Neurospora crassa OR74A: one gene and its partner. The protein of the gene in region 1 purifies or fractionates together with the protein of each later gene. This does not show direct contact. Links are inferred from orthologs where the notes say so. Each region holds a gene or a part of one and is shown on either strand. Other genes may lie near its edges.

The links.
Region 2: the proteins of gna-1 (region 1) and gng-1 purify together in Saccharomyces cerevisiae (affinity purification with western blotting; 3 studies listed by BioGRID, with this or other methods). This does not show direct contact. The link is inferred for Neurospora crassa OR74A from reciprocal best matches to the Saccharomyces cerevisiae genes GPA1 and STE18.

The regions. Positions count from the first base shown.
Region 1 is NC_026503.1:1,614,143-1,618,648, reverse strand, and holds the start of gna-1 (heterotrimeric G protein), read left to right. Parts: upstream 1-1,391; 5' UTR 1,392-1,785; intron 1,786-2,245; 5' UTR 2,246-2,319; coding exon 2,320-2,437; intron 2,438-2,535; coding exon 2,536-2,878; intron 2,879-2,936; coding exon 2,937-3,493; intron 3,494-3,552; coding exon 3,553-3,596; 3' UTR 3,597-4,506. UniProt on the Saccharomyces cerevisiae protein: Alpha subunit of the heterotrimeric guanine nucleotide-binding protein (G protein) that mediates mating pheromone signal transduction.
Region 2 is NC_026503.1:2,378,124-2,381,944, forward strand, and holds gng-1 (guanine nucleotide-binding protein subunit gamma), read left to right. Parts: upstream 1-1,250; 5' UTR 1,251-1,430; intron 1,431-1,745; 5' UTR 1,746-1,941; coding exon 1,942-2,102; intron 2,103-2,197; coding exon 2,198-2,318; 3' UTR 2,319-3,006; downstream 3,007-3,821. Other genes in the region: NCU00042 (selenoprotein domain-containing protein), read left to right, coding at 3,451-3,555, 3,797-3,821. UniProt on the Saccharomyces cerevisiae protein: Implicated in the pheromone A- and alpha-factor response pathway. The beta and gamma chains of the putative yeast mating response pathway G protein play a positive role in initiation of the mating response.

The DNA of each region.
Region 1 (4,506 bases):
TCGAATTCGACAGATCAGGGTTCAGTGACATGGCAGACAGATGGAATGAGAAGGGGATTATCCTCATAAGCCTCGTTTCCCAATCGCTGAACCGTATCGCACATACACAAAATCCGTGCACGACGTGATGTGCTCAGCGGCGTGATACCATATCAATTGTAGAGATTCTCATGGTCTTTCCCGTACCTTTGCTGATACGCTGTTGCTAATTCTGGCCCGGGACAGTTCAGTGGGTTTCCAACATCTTGTTTTTGCAATCACTCAATCGGTCTCGTGTTGACAGAAGCCATTAATCGCAGTGACTGCGCATTCGTAGCGCATGTAGTAGTGTTGTGTGTACGAAGTCGGTAGTGTGTGTACGGAATATGGAGATGTTAGCGAGGTAGGCACTACACTACGCAGTACATTGCTTCTTCTTCTTCTTCTGTTCCTGACCCGGAGGTACGGACGAAACGGGGCTCGACACGGCTCCAGCGCAAAAACATGGCCGCGTTGGGATGCCGACTAGCCTTTGCCCAGAGATCCACTCTTTGAGCTAAGTCAGGAGAACCAAGAAACATGAAAACTGGAAACGCTTTTTTTCATTCGACCGACAATGGCTGTTATCGGCTGGCCAAATTTCAAACGGTCAGGATGGGCAGTCTTGGGGTAAAATTCGCCCACCGCCATGTGGCCATCCCCTTGGTGATCGCATGGGATGGGCCGGACTGGAGCGAGGAACTGGAGCAGAAAAGGGCGATTGTCGAAATGCAAAGGGTGATGATGGTGGCCAGTGGTGTCCGCCGTTTTTGTTCCATTCCATGTCATGCCAGGTACGGATGCCACTGGAGGCCAGGCCAGGGGCACACGTCGGGTGGGCGATGGATCAAAATGGATAGAGAGGGTCTCGAAGGGGGTGGGCGATGTTACGCTCTTTCCACCGTCGACGCGGTGCATGAACATGAACAGCAGCCTAGAGTAGCATCCACTCACAATGTTTGGAACTAGGAAGCCAGGCACAGGGCAAGGCAGCCAGTCGCAAAGCAACCTCAAAGGGCAAAGCCGTGTTATCAAAAAAAGAGGTTCAAATAGGACGAAAAGGGTCAATGATGGTCGTACAGGTCGGCATCCAAACGAGGAGGAGGAGTCCATCGTCCCAACTCCCAAGACCGGCAGCCCAGGGTCTGTTGCATTGGCCCACTTGCATGCACGCAACGACCGCCTCTGATTAGCCAGAGTGCCATCGCGGCTGGAGCCCATCTCACCTTGGAGAGTGCGCGGTGGGTCTCTGCTGGGTCGCTGCCCCCGAAATTCACTGATGGAACTGGGACTGGAAATCGGAGTGCCGTCTAGCGTAGTGCCTGTACTGTGCGCCTGCCCGATGCCTGTACGCACTACGCAGTCAGCACCTACGCATCAGTGCTGGAGTGTGCCTGGTCGCCTGGTTTGGGTCTGGTGTGAGAGTGCGCACCATTCCATTTCACTCACATTAACACCGACAAAGCCAACCTCCCATTCCTCCACCAATTCCCCAATCTTTCCCTTCCTTTCGTTTTCCGTTTTCCGGCTCGACAACCTTCCTCCCGCAAACCGCGAATTGCTGAGAGAGTCCAGCAGCAACTCTACTCTTGGCCGCCTACCTCGCGACAATCACCTACCTATCGTATGGTCTTGACGACTTTCTAATTATCGAGCTGCACCCGTCTCTCCCTTTCGCACCAACCGATCCGACGCTCCCCTTCCAATCAAGTGCGGTTGATTGAAGGCCTAATTGCAATTGCGTGGTATACTGCCGGAAAAAAAAAAGTGAGTAGGTTCGCAACATAAGCACTTCATTCAGTCCAGTCCACCGCAAGAGAACGAACGCCTTTGCATCCCATTATCCTCTGGCCTCGTCGTGCTGCCCTCAAAGGCTGTCTGTCCTGTTTGCTGCCCATCAATCGCACCTCACCGAGCGCTGCCATGCCCAACAATCGACACCTTCGAAACTGCATCGACCATCGAGCCTCGATCCGACATTTGTTTGCGGTTTCAATGGGCGCAATGACAGCGACTCCGAGGCTTTTCGGGGGTGGTGGTTCTAGCTCGTTTCTGGAAGGGCACCCGCTATTTTTCGCAGCGGAGACTCCAACTGGACTGCCTCCCGTCCCCCCAGAGACCAGGGGGTTCTCGCCCCCCCTAACACTTACAAATACAAATCGCCTGTCGACGTCCCAGTTCGTCTCAATTATCATCGCTCTGATACTAACCTCAAACTCGTCACCAGACCGTCGATAATAATCCCCGAATAACGAAACAGACACTCTCTATCATTGCTACGAGCTACAACAAGTCGCCAAAATGGGTTGCGGAATGAGTACAGAGGAGAAGGAGGGCAAGGCCCGGAACGAGGAGATTGAGAACCAGCTCAAGAGGGATCGCATGCAACAACGCAATGAGATCAAGATGCTTCTTCTGGGTATGTCATGCCCCCCGACAAGCCAATTGCTGGCGCGGCCCTGGTCCGGACCCTTGGGTCACCAATGAAATTTCACAGAAGCTGACAATATGTTGCAGGTGCTGGTGAATCCGGAAAGTCGACCATCTTGAAGCAGATGAAGCTTATCCACGAAGGAGGTTACTCGCGCGACGAGCGCGAGTCGTTCAAGGAAATCATCTTCAGCAACACTGTGCAGTCCATGCGTGTCATTCTCGAGGCCATGGAGTCCCTAGAGTTGCCACTCGCCGATCAGCGCGTCGAGTACCATGTCCAGACCATCTTCATGCAGCCCGCTCAAATAGAAGGTGACGTGCTGCCTCCTGAGGTTGGCAATGCTATCGAGGCCCTCTGGAGGGACGCTGGCGTCCAGAGCTGCTTTAAGAGGTCAAGGGAATACCAATTGAACGACTCGGCAAGATAGTAAGTCTCCGCATGATGAGGGAGGCTCTGGTCTCCAACCGCTAACATGCTGTCACAGCTACTTCGATAACATCGCTCGTATCGCCGCGCCCGACTATATGCCCAACGACCAGGACGTTCTGCGATCACGTGTCAAGACAACCGGTATTACGGAAACGACCTTCATTATTGGCGATCTTACGTACCGTATGTTCGATGTCGGTGGCCAGCGTAGCGAACGTAAGAAGTGGATCCACTGCTTCGAGAACGTCACCACCATTCTTTTCTTGGTCGCCATTTCCGAGTACGATCAGTTGCTTTTCGAAGATGAAACCGTCAACCGTATGCAGGAGGCCCTTACTCTGTTCGATTCCATCTGCAACTCCAGGTGGTTCATCAAGACATCCATCATTCTTTTCCTCAACAAGATCGATAGGTTTAAGGAGAAGTTGCCGGTCAGCCCGATGAAGAACTACTTCCCCGATTACGAGGGTGGTGATGACTACGCTGCCGCTTGCGACTACATTCTCAACCGCTTCGTCAGTTTGAACCAGCACGAGACCAAGCAGATTTACACGCATTTCACATGCGCGACGGATACCACACAAATTCGTTTCGTCATGGCTGCGGTCAATGGTATGTTATTTGTCTACTTCGAAATTTTGCGTGGACAAGAAGCTAACAGACCAAAACAGATATCATTATCCAGGAGAACCTGCGTCTCTGCGGTTTGATTTGAGCACTGAACGCAATCTTTCTAATTTTTTCATCAGTTAATGGGGCTGTGAGGTCCGGACAAGCGGTTGATACCGATCAGAACTTCGAGTATTGCCGCCCAGTCGCTGCCGCTGGCTCCATGCCCACAGTTTCTGCCTCCAGATTATGATCTAGTGGAGGTGGCGTGGGCTTTCGAGTGGATATGAGCTCTACATACACCTCGGGGCGTCCCTGGAGAAATTGCATTTGAGAAGCATCATCAAGAGGGGGGCTAACTATTTTGTTTAATCATGATTCCCCATCGACCTTGGAGTCTTTGCTCTCTATCGGTGTTCTGTACGATTTCTTTTTTTTCTATCATCTTTTCTATCCCCTCTGATCCGGGCGCTTTTCACCTTGCTCTTTCTCCTCAGGGACACCGCGGCTGCTACGGGAAGCAAAAGCCCCTCTCAACAAAAGAAATGGATGATTTTGGCGTGCGTGCTTTTCTCAATCTTACTCGGGTGTTTTTCCATGAGTGGTGTGGGAGAAAGTAATGGGATCCAAGCCCATGGGTTCTGGGGAGAGGATGCTGGAAACAAATAGGTCGCTACCGATTGGAGGGAAGGTAGAGAAGGGAAAGGCGAAGAAAGAGCAGGGGTTACCAAAACCACGACGGACGAAGAGATGAGCGACGCCCGTTTCGTTCCGCTATTCTCCCCTCTGTGGCTGTAAGAGGGCAAAGAAAAACAGAGGGCGGGAAACGTTGCGGCGCGCGCGCGCGTGCAGCAAACGATATACCAAGACAAGCGAGGTCTCTTTTCCTTTTTTTTACTCTACTTCTTCTGTTTTTTCCAAGAAAGCTTATTCGCGTGATGTGTTATCTTTGTTTTTGCAGGCGGCGTGGGAGAGGGGAGCAATGGCGGTCCCGGTTTCCTATGGGCAACGCAACG
Region 2 (3,821 bases), about 760 kb from region 1:
CCCGCCTTGACCGATGACGGACCGTCGGCGGTCTTGCCAAGCTTTCTCACGGCTGTCATCGACGAAATTGCACTTTGAGGCTTAGTTGGAACTTGGAACAGAATCGTGGTGCGAACTTCGGTCGAGTATTGAGAAGATAATCCCCAGTAAGAACATATATCCTCCTAAAAGGCATATGATATCGCTGCTTGAACTGCTAGAGTGGCTGCAAACTCTTCTCCTGTAGCTGAATGCACACCAGCAACTGCATAGGACTTCACGGTCTGTGATTACTGTAGTGTACATACATACATACATACATACATGCAGAAACAGGAGGCTCTCCTCTGTACCCTCGTCGTCCCACCCAGAGCGTTCAAGCTCGCGTCCATCATCGGTCGGAGCAAGTGGGCACCCACCCAATGGCGCCATTCCCAATCCCGTCCGGAGATGCCTGCTGAGCCGGGGTGGTTCCGCTAGACCATCAAAGGGGGGACGATAAAGTGGGGGCGGAACCCGTCGTGTTCTGACTGCCCTGCATTTGCCATTCTTGCTGCAGCTTTCATGCACAGCAGCACCGACAGATCCAAAAAAGGTCCCGTCGGTTGGTCGGACTAGTCCTGTCCCTGCCTATCCAGCGGCGGTGGCAGCAGTCCATCTTCAACGGCCTCCATCGTGCTTTTCTTTTCCTAGATCTTGACCTCCAGTCCCGCTTCCAGAAGCTTGCAACAATGTCAATCACAATGGCACGGATGGGGCAGGACAATAGGGAGGCCGGCACCTCATCCTGAATGCGGAGCTCGTGGTGATACTTGCTATCTTGTCTTGATACTAACTCGTCTGCACCCATTCCGTCTACGGTCGTAGTTAGTGTCGAGTTAATCTAACCAAACCCTGCTAAGCGACCCCCTGGTCCGTCTCATTTGCACTTGGCCCTTTTTTTCCTCGTCGCCCTGGGTTGCTTTGGCTGCCCAGAAGAGGAGTGCAGCACCGAAAGCGACCAGCATTGCAGCAGTGCAAGTGCAGGTAAAAGCGCAGCACTGCAGCAGGCCAAGCAGGGGGAGACTGGGGCGTCCATGCCTGCTGGGGAATTGCACGGACTGCACCCGCCTACCGAACCGTTCCCTGCTGCGCTGCTACTGGTTCTACAGGCTGCGCACTGACCCCCGTCGCGGTCCGGGGCCCGCCAGTGGCACTGAAGGAATGAAGGAACTTCCATATGGGCGCCCCTTCTCTTCCCAAGACTTGCTATTAGGAATCGTCAATCGTGTGTCGGTCCTAAGCATTCCTGGCATCGTTGTCCGCAATTCCTCCCTCTCTTCAATCCTCGGGACAGTCAATGATCCATTTGCGCCTTCTCCGACCCTTCGCTTAACCCAACTATCGACTGTCGACATCATCACCTTTTCCCCGTTGCGTGCCAGGAGGTTGCCCTTTACCAAGAGTATCTGGTATGTATTCGCGATTTCTGATCGTTCCCTCTGCTTGCCGCAATTTTTCCAATTGCTCCATCGCGGCCGTCGCCCTTCATTTTTCACGTCTGGCACCTCCGTCCGTCCCCTTCGTGGCCGCCTAATCGCCAGCCGTCAGTAGCAAGGACAGAGGACCGCCGGGGGAGAAGTCCGAACTCCAACTCTTTTTCCATCTCGCCCTCACCCCCCCGACACGAGCAAGCATCAGCGCGACCCCGACCACCGACTGGAGTGAATGAATGGCGATTGACGACGACATCTGAACAACACGGCTGACACGACATGTCTAAACAGCTTAATTCCTATCGTTAAAGACCCACAGCACCACCGACCCCGAGTTCTACTTGCGACCCTTCCTCACCACCAAGCCTGTCCGAACTACTAGTTGTCGGCTTTTGTCGCAGCACCATTGTCGCCCACGTCCCCGACGACACTCCAACACTCCTTTAATTCCCACCCTGGAGTCGAGGCTTCGATAATATCAGCCAAAATGCCTCAGTACGCCTCTCGCGATGTCGGCGACCCGTCGCAAATCAAGAAGAACAAGCAAAGCATGGCCGATCTAAAACTCCGTCGATTGACCGAACTCAACAACCGACTACGTGAGGACTTGGAAAGGGAGAGGATTCCGGTTAGCCAGGCAGCCAAGAGGTGAGAACTGCCATTCGTTGTTGCTCGGGTCGTTCGGCAACATGTGCCGGTCGTGGTTCAATGAGGCTGACAGTCGTTTCTTTTCCCCTATATAGCATAATCACCTACTGCAACAGCACACGAGACTACATGGTACCAAGTGTTTGGGGGCCGGTGCCCAAGTCCGAAGACCCGTATTTGCCACAACAGAGCAGCGGGTGCTGCGTCGTCATGTAAATTGCCAACTGCGAAAAGCTACGACATCAATGCGGCGACAAAAGGGGAGGACATTCGAGTCACTCTGTTTAGCACGGGCGATCAGTTCAGCGTTTCGAAACAGCGATTCCTACGAAAGTCTTTTGGAGGGGCGGACACCGTCGTTTGCAAGCGGGATTGGATCCGGACGGAGTTGGTTTGGAAGGCCGAGAACGTTATCGGAGATTATGAGCGATCAGATGTGCATCATCGGGACGGAAAGAAGTCGGCATTGTTTGCGGTTCGTCCTTTTCGCCGCCATTATCACGATACGTCAAACCGGGGAGAAAGGTTTTGAGGAGTGAAGACACGACGGCTGGCCTGACCATAATGCTTATTCAAATACCCCCCATCCGTTACTTCGGATCTACGGCAGGCAGGCTCGGCAGACTCTTCAGCATGTAATACCTTTTTATTTTTCTATATTTTCTTTCCCTTTTTTTTGCTTCTTATTCCCCGGTTGTACTCTTTTATACTCGGCCTTCTCGATTCCCTTTTTTGTCTTTTACATGTGTATATCCTGCTTCATGAAGCGCTTTTCGCGCGGCTTCCTCTTCTGGGTCTGGAAAGGAAGGGGCTTACGACATGATAAGTGAGGCAAATGAAATGCACTAGACTATCGATTTTACTCAAACTGATGATATTTGAATGAATGCATCAAAATAGCTCCAGTTTCCTCATCAACGGAATTTGATATCCTATGTGATGGATTGCTGCAGTTGGGTCGAGAGATAGACATTGAAAAATGTCTCTATCAGTGCACTTAACGGTTGGTAAATCCTCACATAGTAGTAATCCATTTTGGGGATCTCGCACTGGTTGTTGATGAACTCATGTTTAGTTCGGAGGCGTGATGACGCACAGGCGATTCGGGGTGCGGAACCCATCCGATGGAGCTGAGTAGGTATGTACAGCTCCAGGATTTAGCCGTTTCTCGTGTGGACTTCCCTCCAAATCACATGAACTCCCACTTACACGCCGCCACCTAAAACCGACCAGAGTGAGAAAAACACGCAAAGTCCATAACAATCAAGAGGCCTCCATCTACGCGAATATATATACATGTACATCACTCTCATTCTTGACATAGCATTTCCCAGTACACACAAGGATAATGGACCAATCTCCTACTACTACCAGTGCCTCGACTCCAACTTTACTTCCTCGTGTTACCATCCGCTTTTGTACGCAGTGCAAGTGGATGCTTAGGGCAGCATATGTGAGTAGAAAGTTTCCTGAAGATATCAAGTACTTTTCAGACGCTTCGAGTCTCGCCACTGTCATCTATTCACCGTCTCGGAAGAGGGTTTCTGAATTCCCTAACCCCCACCTCACCCTCCCACTTCACCTATACCATTCATCATCCACACTTTCACCAATCGCGTTCCCGTTAAATACACATGAATCACATGAACCTCAGCTACATCTCCAAAAATTCTAACCCCCCTTCTCAAATACAGTACGCCCAAGAACTCCTCTCAACCT